Linked DNA regions of Neodiprion lecontei. The protein of the gene in region 1 interacts with the protein of each later gene in a pairwise test. Links are inferred from orthologs where the notes say so. Each region holds a gene or a part of one and is shown on either strand. Other genes may lie near its edges.

Evidence for each region.
Region 2: the proteins of poly [ADP-ribose] polymerase tankyrase (region 1) and proteasome inhibitor PI31 subunit interact in binary tests that used the Drosophila melanogaster proteins (3 or more experiments, as listed by UniProt). The link is inferred for Neodiprion lecontei from reciprocal best matches to the Drosophila melanogaster genes Tnks and PI31.

What each region holds. Positions count from the first base shown.
Region 1 is NC_060265.1:26,915,283-26,920,940, reverse strand, and holds the start of poly [ADP-ribose] polymerase tankyrase, read left to right. Parts: upstream 1-1,928; 5' UTR 1,929-2,226; coding exon 2,227-2,419; intron 2,420-3,639; coding exon 3,640-3,842; intron 3,843-3,934; coding exon 3,935-4,275; intron 4,276-4,348; coding exon 4,349-4,602; intron 4,603-4,776; coding exon 4,777-5,110; intron 5,111-5,357; coding exon 5,358-5,488; intron 5,489-5,658. Other genes in the region: uncharacterized protein LOC107218902, read right to left, coding at 1-66, 204-357, 919-1,216, 1,409-1,498. UniProt on the Drosophila melanogaster protein: Stimulates proteasome activity, probably by ADP-ribosylation of PI31. Modulates 26S proteasome assembly.
Region 2 is NC_060261.1:13,183,073-13,191,975, reverse strand, and holds proteasome inhibitor PI31 subunit, read left to right. Parts: upstream 1-2,732; 5' UTR 2,733-2,954; coding exon 2,955-3,104; intron 3,105-3,329; coding exon 3,330-3,479; intron 3,480-3,548; coding exon 3,549-3,838; intron 3,839-5,672; coding exon 5,673-5,843; coding exon of another isoform or gene 5,844-5,847; exon of another isoform or gene 5,848-5,880; intron 5,881-6,588; coding exon of another isoform or gene 6,589-6,653; intron 6,654-6,765; coding exon 6,766-6,895; 3' UTR 6,896-8,096; downstream 8,097-8,903. Other genes in the region: dolichyldiphosphatase 1, read right to left, coding at 392-521, 937-1,164, 1,400-1,578, 1,682-1,744.

The DNA of each region.
Region 1 (5,658 bases):
TCAGATATTGCTTGTCTTTTTTCGAATGTCTCATTCTGAAAGTCGTTTATATCATTGACCTGATCCCTGAAAATTTGTTGATTACATGTCAAGATCCAATACTAACAATTATGCAGACTATGATAAACTTGTACCGTCATTCACTAAAAACAACTTGTTTGAATCTAATTATTGAAACTGGGATTGAATGCAAACAGATTTACTCGACAAAGCTTCTAGCCCTTCGCTCAGTCTTAGAAAATCGGCTGTTCATCTCCTCAATGTTTTTATGTATATCTGAAGTGGTATTGATTAACAGCTTCTTAGTTACTTCGTCTGTAATCCCGGATTGTGGTGCCATGAGTACATTGCTATCCGCTGCAAATAAAAGAGTTACACATTAAAATTTTTTTACCAACATTTACCTGGGATTTATCATCTAGCCGTTGGTTCCCTTTAAAGGGTGCAAATTGTGAGCATAGCTTTTTACATGCCAAGCTTCTCAATATAACGTGAGTAAATATTGTAACTGTTAGAATGGTTGGGAAAAATGAGGCTCCAATAATTCTATTGGTATATTTATTATATAGAAATACGTTAAGAGTTAATATTTGAATATTCGGGACAACACCAGACATTCGTGGCGCTTTGCCTGTGATCTTCTTTTCGACTCTATTCAACTCTGTGTACAGAAAAACAACACTCTTGCTTCTCACACACTCACTCGGTATTAGAATACATACGTGTAGGTCAGATTCGGTTTCCTCAATGTCAGTATACAATACAGTGTAGATATATGTGTGTACAATATAAATGTATAGTACATACATCAACAGTACCGGCAACTGAATTCAACGGAGTAAATGGGATAGGAATCAAATTTAACATAACAAGGCCAAGTAAGTAAATTAAAAGAATTGAAATCAAAATATAACTTACATTCACGTTTGATATATACATAAAGGACAACCTGTGAGAGCTTCCACATGACGTTGATAAACTTTGTACCTCCAGCGTGCAACAAATACGTGCCCAATATTGAGGGAAGGCCAGCCTCGGGATGCTCGGTTGCAACGATGCCTATAAAATCTTTAACATCGCTTCTGTACTTGCTCTCACTCTTCTTACAAACTATTGGCCACTCCACCAATTTTCTAAACCGTTCCGAATCATATATCGTAAGGAGATAGTGAGATACGTGAATGAAGCCTGTAGTGTTCGGCTTGTCAAACATTCCCTGGAAAATAAAATTAACTAGATAGAAGTAACAGGTTAGTAAATTTTCACTAAATCAGCAGTTCACAGTAAGAACAATGTATCAGCTGAATTTTTTTGATAGTATCGAGACGGTAGACGGACAACAAACTAGAGAGGTTATATTCACAAAAACTGAAGGCTACATCACTTGGCAACAAATCAATTTCCATACCTCTCGAAAATGCCGTCTAAAAGCTTCGTTCGGGGACACAAGTTGCGTAAGAAGAGAGACATTTTTGTGGAAAGATACGCTGACTGCCATCGGTACTCCCTGTTGCCTAATATCAGTAATTATTGTATTTACACTTTACGTCAGAAACGCTATAAATCACAACTTAGCAACGAATTCATTCTAGTGTTCATTTCATTATGTTAATTAGGTGCAGAATTATTGATTAAATCGATTAAATCTAGTGATATTATCTGTATAATTAGTATCGGACGTGAGCCGCTTAAGATGCGTCATATGCGATCAAGCGCCGGGACTGATGGGGACTGACCATCTTTCTCTTTTTCAAAACGCTACGCTCGGCAAATCGAAAACGGCGATTGGTCCGCATTGCTAGCAACCGTTGACGGCAAGTCGGTGACGAATAACTTTCAATTCTGCGGGGCGTCGTGAGGTGTCGGCGAGGGGCGCGGGTGGGGGGGGGGGGCAGGGAGGGAGAGAGGGATTTGACATCAAACCGCGTGTATTCTTATTCATCGTAAGAAATTTCGAATATCAGTGTGACTTAAAAGACTCGCTGATATGCGATGCAAACAAGAAAGAAGAAAATAAGGGTAAATAAATTTGGTTCAAGGAAAAATTGAGCGGTCGAAATTACACCAGGGGCTCAAGAAACTCGCGTTGCGACCCTGCCAAACTCTTGTTGCTATGGTACAGCTGGCGCATTGGTCCTCGACTGCGATGACATACGTATACACGTATACATTGGTATACGGAGGTGTGTGCCTCAGACGACAGTAGCATGAAAATGGTGGTGTAAAATGACTGGACGACGGGCAGTGTTGACGAACTCTGAGCCCTTGCCAGGAAATGGGGGTGCTGATCCATTTCGCGAACTTTTCGAAGCGTGTAAAACCGGGGACTTGGTAAGGGTGAAACAAATCGTAACCCCGCAAACGGTTAACGCGCGTGATACCGCCGGACGAAAATCTACCCCCCTGCACTTCGCAGCTGGTGAGCGAATTTATATTTACATTTATCCTCTCGCGTTACCTTACAGCTGAACAATTCAATATCGGGACACCCTTTTACTCCTACGGAGTAAGGATAGTTCGTTATCTCGAACCAATTATTCTGTAAACTGTGCTGCATGTGTTATTTCCCCTTTTTAAAGTTATCATCAATTTTTTTGGTTAGGGTTTGCGCAACGAAAAACAAAAATTACGTGTGTATGTGTATCTATGTGCGTATATCTTACCCGTGTTTTGCCATCTCCTGTCATTATACAGGTTTTCCTGGTTTTGAGTGAGCTGAATGCAAACAGCAAATTAACATTGAGAAACGTATCTTTAGCCATTACCTGCTCATTTTAATTTCGAAACAAAATCCTCCATGTACTCCAAAACAGTTAAATAGCACGAATTGAATGACCCTGTTACTCGGCCATTTCTCCATTTATAATGATCCCTTCATTTTTATACCTTGCAATCATAGTCCGTGTTTAGTTTTATTATATAAAAAAAAATGCTTAAACGTGAAAAATTTTTAAAGTATTGTCAAATTGTGTAGTTGTTAAAACTAGACTATATAGCAATACTTATATTAGATCATAGGTCTCGTTAAAATGAGCTGTGAAATAACATTTTATTATTATCGTATCCAAGAGAAAGTGAAAGTATAATGTAGAAATTTTTAGAGCACCAAATTATTACTTGTTGTTATTCTGCTGCGCATATTTAATGTTCTTAATATGTAACAACCTGGAAAATATTAGTTTGCAACCTGCTTTGCGTGGATAGAAAGGTCGTGCTCCTGCTTACAAGGCAGAACCGAGTTCTAACTGTACTTATACTTGGTTGGCCACCTTCTTTCAATAGGTAAATAATGACATCTTCTTTGTCGTTATTTCACCTGAGGTTTTGCATTCAGACTGGAAACCTGAGTAAACTAGAAAGCCTGGATAAAAATTATCTCATACAAACTGTACAAACTGTAAAAATAAAGTTGAGGAAAGGGGAAGAAGCGAGCTTTCCAAAAATAAACTGTGTCTCAAGAAAGTGAGGAGAAAAAAAGGAGAAAAAAATTAATGTCTGCCTATTTACCAGATATGTGCGCATAACTTATAATCTGTTTGCTCGTTCTTTAAGAATCATTCAATAAAAATGGTGTATTAGTTTATCATCTTAACATGCTAATTTTCAAATTACAATTAACTGTAACGTTCCTGCCAATAGGATATGGTAGGAGAGACGTGGTGGAATTTTTACTTTCGGCTGGAGCCTCTATACAAGCCCGCGACGACGGAGGCCTCCATCCTCTCCACAACGCGTGTTCATTTGGTCATTTTGACGTTGTGCGATTGCTTTTGGAAGCAGGAGCTAATCCTAATACCAGAGATAACTGGAATTACACGCCATTGCACGAGGCTGCTATCAAGGTAGAATTGTACATGAGAAATGTCAGTCGGCAAGTTTTTTTTATCATCATTTAATGTTCTTATTATGAAACACTCGGTCTGTCATATTACAGGGTAAAATAGATGTCTGTATTGCTCTCCTCCAACATGGAGCTGACGCCAATATTCGAAACACCGAAGGAAAAATAGCACTCGAATTAGCTGACCCAGCAACAAAGCCTGTTCTTACGGGAGAATATAGGAAAGATGAACTGCTAGAGGCAGCTAGATCAGGCAATGAGGAGAGATTATTGCAATTATTGAATCCGTTGAATGTTAATTGCCACGCTAGTGACGGAAGACGATCCACTCCGCTGCACTTAGCTGCCGGTTACAACAGATCGCGGGTTGTACAAATATTGTTACAAAACGGAGCAGATGTCCATGCCAAGGACAAAGGGTATGCAGGATTTGGGTAACAATTCGGTTTGGGAAATTTTAGACTGTTAATTATGGACGTAACAATAACTGATGGACATTCTCTACAGGGGGTTGGTGCCACTGCATAACGCTTGTTCCTATGGTCACTTTGAAGTGACGGAAGCCCTTCTGAAACACGGAGCTGCTGTTAACGCAAGTGATCTCTGGGCCTTCACCCCGCTTCACGAAGCTGCCAGTAAATCTAGAGCTGAAGTGTGCTCGCTGCTGCTGAGCGAAGGCGCAGATCCGACTCAGCTCAATTGCCACAGTAAAAGTGCCATTGACGTGGCACCTACGCTGGAATTACAAGAAAGACTGGCATGTGAGTATAAATCTTATAAAACTCTCGTTTGTATGGGTGAAAATGGTAGATCCATAAAACATAATTTCTTACTCTCTCCAGTCGAGTACTGAAAACAGGCTTATTATTTTCAGCAAACCATTAATAGAACTCTAGAACAGAACAAAAGTCGCTCAATCTCCTCTTATATTTCAGATGAGTTCAAAGGACACTGTCTTCTAGATGCCTGCAGACAGGCAGATGCAACGAAATTGAAAAAGTATCTGTCTCAGGATGTTGTTAATTTTAAGCATCCCTACACTGGCGATACTCCTCTGCATAGCGCAGTGGCATCACCCTATCCGAAACGGAAACAAGTTATAGAAACTTTGATAAGAAAAAACGCAGCTCTGAATGAAAAAAATAAAGACTTTCTTACACCTCTTCATATAGCTACCGATCATTCCCACTACGACGCAATGGATGTCTTACTACGACACAATGCCAAAGTTAACGCCTTAGATGGACTAGGACAGACGGCTTTGCACAGGTAATTTTGTACTGTTATTCAAATTACTCCTGTCATTTTGAGTTACTTAGTAGGCCTTCGAAGATGATCAAATTTCGAAAAATGCTTACGGAAATAATGTTGAATAATATATGTATGATAATCTTTTGCATGCATATCTATGAAAAATTGTAATTTTATGTTTATCCTGTTGAATCGATATTTGGTGCACTGCAAAGGCCTAGTAATTAATGCAATATAAAATAAGAATATTAATAAATGTATTTAGGTGCGCCAGAGAGGACAACGTTCAGGCATGTAGGATACTTCTTTCCTATAACGTTGATCCTTCGATAGTCTCGTTGCAAGGATATACGGCAAGTCAAGTTGCTACGGAGAATGTCATAAAAATATTACAAGGTTAGTGTGATTAAACATCTAAGGATATTGCGCAAGAGGAAATTAGGCAACTGCAAAAAAAAAATTGCTTCTAACTCGAATCGGAAAAAACGTATTACGGATAATAAATTCGAAGGAAATTGAGTATTGAAATAGTATCTGCTAATTAAAAAATAATGCAACGTTAATCC
Region 2 (8,903 bases), on another chromosome or scaffold:
CAATTTACCCGTTTAAGGCCCTTGACTAATTGTCACTTGTTACACTATCATCAATTTTTATCATTATTATTTATTATTATTGAATTGTAATTGCAAAAATTTGTCATTTTTCTTTTGTGTATACCTCGCCTGCTCCTATTCGAGCATCAGTATTGTTTTGTTGTTTATTTGTTATTTTGTTTTTCGTTTTCTTAACAGTTTAATTCGGAACGTTTTTTATACAAATTTAGATTTCGAATACAATCCGACGAAATAATTCCCACTTCGGATTTGAGATTTACGTCTAATTCTTGGATCTCAAGTCTCGTAATGTAGGTCTTAAGTCTAGACTGCAAAATGTAAAATTTAATTTATTTTATTTGTTGTCAGCCCACTGACCGATCATCAGTCGTCACTGAGACTTCATGGACACCAACTTCCGTGATCTAGCTCTGGCTTCGGCTCGTGCATTTGTATATTCGAACCATAGTACGTTTGGAATCAATGTTGTATCGCGTAGCAATAGATATTCTGATATTCGCCTGTAATAAGCAAAAGTAATATTTTTTACACTTAACCGTATCTAACTATCTTGCATATATTGAAATAGAATGTATTCATAGAAATTATTTTCTTATTGAAAAATAAAAAAATGAAAACAAAATTACGTGATTCAATAGTGCCTGTAAATCATTTTGATGAGAATAGTTTACAGGTTTAAAAAAATTGATACAATTGTCTAGTTTTATCTATAAAATGTAATATGTGACTGAGAAATCTGGGAACAAAATTTCAGTAGTTTTGAAAGCAGTCTTGTTGAAATGTTTATTTCAATTTTGCATCCAATTATTCTTGGAAACAAAAGTAATTATCAGTGTAGTAATAATGACATGAATAATAACAATAATAATAATGATATTTGGATAATAATATTAATAAATTGATAGCGAAACTCACCATGATACAATAATTGGAAAAAATGGTGTGAGGACTAGATGAGTAACTAGAAACCAGACGCTGCCGACAAAGATTCCTACAATCACGCCGCAAAGAACTTGTGCAATAGAATGGTATTGCAAATAAATGCGGCTAAAAGCAACAAGGGTTGCGACTCCTACACAGCTGGCGATTATAGTTATCCGCCAAAATCTCTCTGATACTGTGCTGTTGTTATTATGATGTAATCTGTGATGCCGAAGAATTAAAGAAAGATCATTAATCTTAAACACATAAACTCAATTGACAGAAATTGGTTAAAAGTTTCAATAATCTTTATGTCCTAGAAAACTTTGTTAACTTGAATGAAGCTTTGAAACAGATCACCACACAGAAGTAGAAAAGCGATTCAAGTAACCAAATGTAATAACGACTTACAACCAATTCTGTGCTAGATTGAGATCACACCCTAGAAATGCGTTACCTAACAAATACGAATATTGTTGCATATGTAGCGAAGAACCACATAAACTGAGTATGAGCAGAAGGCATTCCGTACTCTGTGTATATAACTTCCCGCCTGATGGGTCGTGCTTCTCGTATTGCATGTTTGAGAGAAAAGTTGACAACCTCGTTAACAACAACACCCCCTAAGAATGCTATCTGTAAAAATCAAATCCAATGATCACTGGGTATTTTTTAATTTCTGTTGGCGTTACAAAGTTGACACCCCAGAATGATCATACAATTGTGTGAGTTATCTTACAGTGTGTAAATCTCTTCTGAATAGCACTAGCGTTAAAAAACCTGCGATAACAGCGAATGGCATTAAACTTATCAATGCCAAAAACTTCCCAATCAGATCACCTGTAATTTAAGATCACTCAAGTGAACATCGGTTACAAGGTGCAAGAGAAATGAAGACAGAAATCCGTGCGTTGTTTGACAACATTGTTCTTGTATTTATGATTTTAAGACTTTCATATGTTTAATTATGATTCGTTAACGTTCTATGTTTTTATCATTTTCAATTAGTGGATTCTAGAAGTGATAGAGAAAAGACATTGAACTATAGATTCTGAATTAAAAATTTTATTTGTACCAACTAGTGAAAGGAAATATTGAATAATGTTTTCAGCGCCGTCAGTAGCCTCGTGGAAATACGGACACGAATGCAGATAACGTTTCATTATCATTTATTAAACATGCAATAATTATTAGTTAAATTTACCTGCCGGATATTCTACGAGCGTAAGGGATAAGGGCACCCATTCCAATTGCTCGATGGAATGTGTAGAGTGAGATTTAATGTCGCGCAGCGACTCATCGTCGAGCGACGACGCCATTTTCAAAGTTTGAAACTGCCGTACAGCGTCACCAAATTCTGGCAAGAATGTGGACAGTGTCGGTTGTATTTGTTGTATTTTGTTACCGACAGTGCGTGTTAACAGATGTCCCCACAGGGCTTCCGTAAAGAATGAGAAGTGTCATACTCCATACATACACAACCAAAGAGGATGACGGAAATCAAGTCATAAGATTTGCACTGCATATGTATATTTCTAGATTTCAGAGCATATACTATCGGAGGTAGCTACCCAATCCGACTACCTCACGAAAACTGAACCTGAAATAATGAGAGAACGAAACATGTACTCGGGATATTCCGTCTCTCTCACTCTGCACTTTATTGGCTGAGAGGAAACGTATGGACCAATCAAGTATGGAGCGAGAGAGACAGGTTGTAACGAGCATATACTTCTCTCTCTCACTCATCCACCACGCTCTCTATATATACGAAGCTACCACTCGTAGTATAAAGCTACTGGCCGAAAACTAGGAAGAATTGCAATTCCCTGTTTTGTTGGGATTGCCGTCAGTTAAAAACCAAGGAAAATGTTTCCCTCGGTGTATAACTTGATTGGCTGAGTCTCCGCTTACCACGGTGCACTGGTTATCACTCAGTTTTCCATTGACTTGCGTTCAATTGCATTGTCATTCCTCCGCGATTTTCGGCAACGAACCTCAAGAGAAAAATCATGGCAGCTGATCCATCCAATATTTTTGGCTTTGAATTACTCTACAAATCTGTGGAGAATCAAATAAATAAGAAAGATGACGTATTGATAACTCTGGTGCACTGGTACTTTGTTAGAACTGGATTTAGATGCATTGGCACTGGTGACACGGTTAGTGCCGAATATCTGAACCTGATGCAATCTGAAAAATAGAAAAAGCAAAATAATGAATAACCAAACACTACAAAAAAATATTCATCTGAAAAACTTATAAATCCGGATAATTTAATTTGTTTTTATTCATTACAATTAACAGCTTGGTTCTACTTATTATTTTCTTCTACTAATTCGGGGAGAAAAAAGACGAAATTCAAAGTTTATTTAAATGATTTACAGAAAACGTTTAATCCAAATGAAGTAGGATCTGAATTGTTACCTAACGGCTGGAACCAGAATCCCAATTACGCTTTGCGTTATGTCAAGGAAGGAAAACTGTACATTTTACTTGGCACAAAGTCAGATGCCGATTTAATCCTCAATCTGATGGTGAGTCAATTTCACTCCTAGGTATTGATGGTCACATTTTTACTTTCTAATTGGCATTCATCCTTATAGCGAATCGAAGACCACAGTGTGTCCAACATTCAGTTTTTGGTCGACACAACTGTGTCTGCCCTGAAAGGGCCACTGCAGACGTTGATGCCGAGTTTCCAAAGTGTCATAAACACCATCAGAACGGACCTGGTTGACCCCGTTTATACAGGAAATGCAAGAGAAACATCGACTCAAACTTCGACAGGCAATGTGAACAGTACGCGTGATATTCCACGCCGCCCAAATCGCTCGGATTACGATCCTCTCAGGGTAGGACCGCCACAAAGACCAAACCCAGATCTTCCTAATTGGTAATTTCCATATCAATTTTCTAGTAAGCCATAAGCCCTTTCTTTAAAAAGCATTCATTGTTAAGGTTTCAAAGGTCCTCTGGGTCTGGCCACATCATTTGCTGCATTGTGAATGTGTTTGTTACATGGCTTACTAGGAAATTTATGTGGCGCTCTTTCAGTCCAACAGAAATTTACCTTTGATACCTTTACAGGTTTCCAATGACATTGATGACATAGATCCCGATGATATTTGGCCTACAATGAACCTTTAAACCCTTGAACATCTTGTCCAAGCCTTTTCCTGACTTCATCCTGATCAGGACGAACATTCCCTTCGTTTTTAATCACACCAAATCCTTGTTATCGATAATCCTTTTCTAACCACAAGAAATAAAATCCCTCATAATATTTCGGATTCAATCGCTTAATTGTTACGCATTCATGTACAATCGTTGTATGAAAGAAATGAGGTGATTCTCAGAAAGACATTCGGCAGAATGATACATTTTATTCACTGTTAGGACATAGTTTCTTGCATCTCTTAAGTTCTTGTGGAAATTCTTATAGTCTTTAGTAATTTTTTGAAACCTTGATAAACTTTTGATCCACTCAAGTGAAAAGCACAAAATGAATTTTAATACTTGAAACATCCAAGCAAATATAACAAACAATTGAACTGTTCTATCAGCAAAATACAGAAGCCATTTACAACAAAATCATCAGGCTTCTGGATTAGAGATTCTGTTGAAACATCTAGGGGCGTATGTTTGGACGAAACTACGGAACTCCTGATGTGTAGTTTCATCCAATAGACCTTACATCGCTCAGCATACGGTAGATCAGATCGTAGGAAACTCGTAGTTACTTCACTATTGCTCTGAAGTAATATATCTATTCAAACTCGAACGTCTTAGATACTATTACTGAAACCCTATCAGAAGACAATAAAACTTGATATTTGAGGCGTAAATACACAGCAGGATTATTTGGTTATGGAATTTCAGTCATCAAGCTGCATATATAACCAATTGTAACTGAAATGAAGAAAAGCCTATTAGATGAAACTATGTATCACAAGCTCCATATGTTTAGCTATGCAAATGATCGCAGAAGTTATTGAATTCGAAGTTGGCAGAAGATTTGCATCAGAAAATTAGTGTGCTTACCAAACTCAGTGGTTTTCGCGCTTTAGGAACATTCTAGCTCATACGATCGTTCAATACTGTTCAAATGAGTTTTAGAGGAGTCATAAAACGTCAAAACTTTGCATTTCATATATTATTGTAAAAATTGACTTTATTCAGTGAAAATTATCTATTTAGAAAATAGCAATTTGGTTTTTTGCTCTTGAATGGAATTTTCTGCTAGCCCGTAATTCGACAAGCAATACGAATAAGAATGCTGTCGCTTGCCCAACTTTAGAAAAAAAATAGTAGTGCAATCACAGGTTCGCTCAAGATTCGCACTCTCCAGTAAACTATCCAATCGCCTATTGTTCAGAATAATAATTCTTACTGAATAAGGTCTATAAATACGAAGTTTCAATATTTACCTACTCCTGGAAAACTCAATCGAAAGCTATCTAGCGATTCTACAAACCAGCTTATTTCCTATCAATCTCCTTTTCATCAGAAGTTTGAGCAGAATTTCATTATCTGGAAGCCTGATACTTTCCTTGTTAGATTATCGTATTGAAATTCGTTTGATGCTCCAAAAAGTCAAATTTGGCAGAAGTTGAGCCTGCTACTTGAAAAAGATGCACAAGTTTCTGTCGAAGTTTAAAAAGTTGAGGAACGGCGTGGCTGAAGTTCGTCGATTATCACTGACAATCAAATCATGGAAAATATTTCAGGAATCCAATGGCTGACCCAAGAGGAGTTGGAAGATCAGATCTGGATCCATTCACAGGACCTCCAGGCAGCGGAGGAATGATCTTTGACCCTTTCTCATCCGGCCCATTTGGCCGAAATCCACTAGGACCCGGAGGTCCTGGAAGTTTGGGAATTCCTGGCCGTCTTCCCCCGTAATTGCCATTACTATTTATTCACACGCTTCAAAGGGTCCGTTCAATACTTGCTTATTGGTCGCAAAGAACGAAAAAAGAGGGAGGCCCCTGGTCCAAAAATTCTCAATAGATCATGTTTTAATTTCTCAGAAACGTACCATGTTTTCGAATAGTTCTAAAGAAAATTCTGTATTTATCCTCAAAAAGTTTGTGAGGGATATCCAAAATTTCCAGAGAGTTTTCATATGCTTTCAGACTTCTTATTCTATTGAAAATCACATAAACACCGAAGTTTCGCGTCATGTCTACTGATTACGTAGCGTTTGAAGTAAAAATGGCAAGAATTTCTGGGAAAAACTTTTATATTATTGAAAACCTGAAGAATTTCGAGTTTTCATTTTTCTGAATATTTCTGAGAAAGTCGAGTTAGAGGTGAAAATCGGACCAATGCCTAGAGAAAAGTCACTTTCTTTCAGAACTTTATTTTCTGTCACAAATTCGAAAAAATCCGATTCCAGTGTTTCTAAGTATTTTCAGGCGATAACGAATTATAAAAAACTGTTATGGATTTCTGAGAAATTTGAAATCTCAAGATTTTTTCATAAATGTATCGGCGTTAATTTTCGACATAAACTTGGAGAAATTTGTACCAATTCTTAGAAATTATTCGAGTTTAACATATATTTTTCAAAAAAGTTGAGAAACTGTCATAAATTCTGAGTAAATTTGTAGAAATTTAATCTAAAAATATTTTGTGTCGAAGAGGGGGATGCGAAATTTCCAAAACAGATGTCAATGCAATACTTGAATGGCTTCTGAATACAAAATGTAGGTCACATTTCGATGGTATCAATGTGATTGTGTTATCCAAATGTTTCACAAAAAAAGTAACGAAATTTACGAATTACCTAAATTCATAACGTTTTTTTTCAAATTCTAGCGGCGCTGTGCCGCCTGGGGCACGTTTTGATCCCTTCGGGCCACCGGACGTAAATCTTCCGCGGCCCCCCAGGGGGGGACCCGACAATGACCATTTACCACCGCCAGGGTATGACGACATGTTCATGTAAAAGACGAGGCTTCAAGAATATGGAACGATAGCGGGATTTTCGGTTACTAAAATTCTGCGTAAAAGTATAAGAGCCATTTAATGTGTATCAATTTTTTATCTAATAAAAAAATAACTGGTCAGTTGCCGCCTCGTAATTTATTTCTGTGGGAGATCAGGGCAAAGCAGAGCACCCTGGGGAAAGTGCAGGATCATGGTTATTCGAATGCCAAGGAATTTTTGTATTTCTGTTTACTTATAATCAAGGGAAATATTCCAACTTCTAAACTGTCGACAAGATATTTTTTGAATTTTGCAGGGAAAAGCAGAAATTGTGCAAAAAATGTAAGAAATATTTTCGACCTACGTTACTTTGCCCCGATTTCCCGTATGTACACATGTGGACAGTAATTCAGAAACGGCTAGTTTTTCGGTAAGGTCAATTACGTTGGTACATAACGCGAATTCAGTCTGCAGTGCCACTGTCAGCCTACCGCTACGGGCTGAATCTGCGTTACCAACGTAATCGACCTTACCGAAAAACTAGCAGTCTCTGAATTAATGTCCACATGTGTACATACATGCAATAAACATCGTTTAATCTTAAATTCCCTTGAAGAGAATTTTTCTCTATCTTCACGTTGGTAAGAAAAATAAATTAAAACCCCGCGCAGAAATTCTCGGATTGAATAATTTCAACGTAAGTAATGAATTTCTTTTTAAATATAATTTAATCACTGTATCAATATTTAAACAATAATATAAGTATTGTGTGATACGTAGTAATTAAGGGACATTATTTTATCAAATCAAATTAAATATAATAAAATATAATAATAATTGTTGATTTAATTCAGCTAACTTGTTACTAACTTATATTCGTTATTTCTTTCAATCGTACCAATCAGGTTTCTGGGATGACTTGCAAATAATAATTAAGGACAGATTTTACTGTAGCTTTGCTATACATGACTTACTTGACTCATTTCGTAACATCATTAGTGAGAATTAATTATGAATAAACAATTTCTGTTAAACATTGGTTATTCTCATGTCTCCGTTTTACATACCGTTATTAATTTTTATCATTATTTTTAGATCATTGGATATAGAGATGCATATATCCATTACGCAACTAAATTTAGAACCCTTCATTTGACACAATGATAATTCAATGTCTCAAAACCTCGATATTATAACATGGTATAATTAGAAAAATTGAACTGTGTATTAAAAAAATATCGCACAGGAGTGCAGAAATTTGACAAAAGTCTTGACGATAAAAAATTTGTTTATTTTTTTTTAATTCTTTTTTTTATTTATTTTTTTTTATTTGCGTTCAAAAAAATTTTCAATAGATATGCGACAACAAACACAGATGATTTTCTTAATTTATCTGTGCTTCGTATAATTTTTGCCTGCATCTACAGAAAGGGGTATGTATATTGAATATGCATTAAAGTATATTCATATAAAAAAGAAGAAAAAAGTAATACTAGGATTTATTTATGTTCTGGGGAAAAAGCGTCGCCTACCAAGAAAATAATTAAAATAACGAATCTTACCATACGATAAATTTTCCGCTTGTTTGTTTTTTTCTCACTATTTCTTCCTGGCATCAAGAAAGTAATAATAGTATTAGTGTAGTACCAGGTGTAGCAGTAGTCGTAGTAGTAATAATAGAAAAAAGCATTCGTGAAAGTATATAACATAATAAGTATATGATTATTATAATAATATGCGATTGATTATTCGATAAAATAAAGATGATGATTTATTTGTAAGGGATCATGCGTAACCACGTAGAATAAAGTTAATTATATAATTTCAGTATGATTTTCATAAATTAAAGAGTATCACAAACTAAACGTGGTTTTTTGGTAATGTGACAAACAGTGGTACGCCTTATTAACCCCATCATCTGTTACAAAAAATTATTGCAGCTTTCGCATCAACACGAAAGAAGTATTATAGAATAACAGTAATAAATGTTATAGAAGATTTTACGTATCTATCACACAGCTCATTGC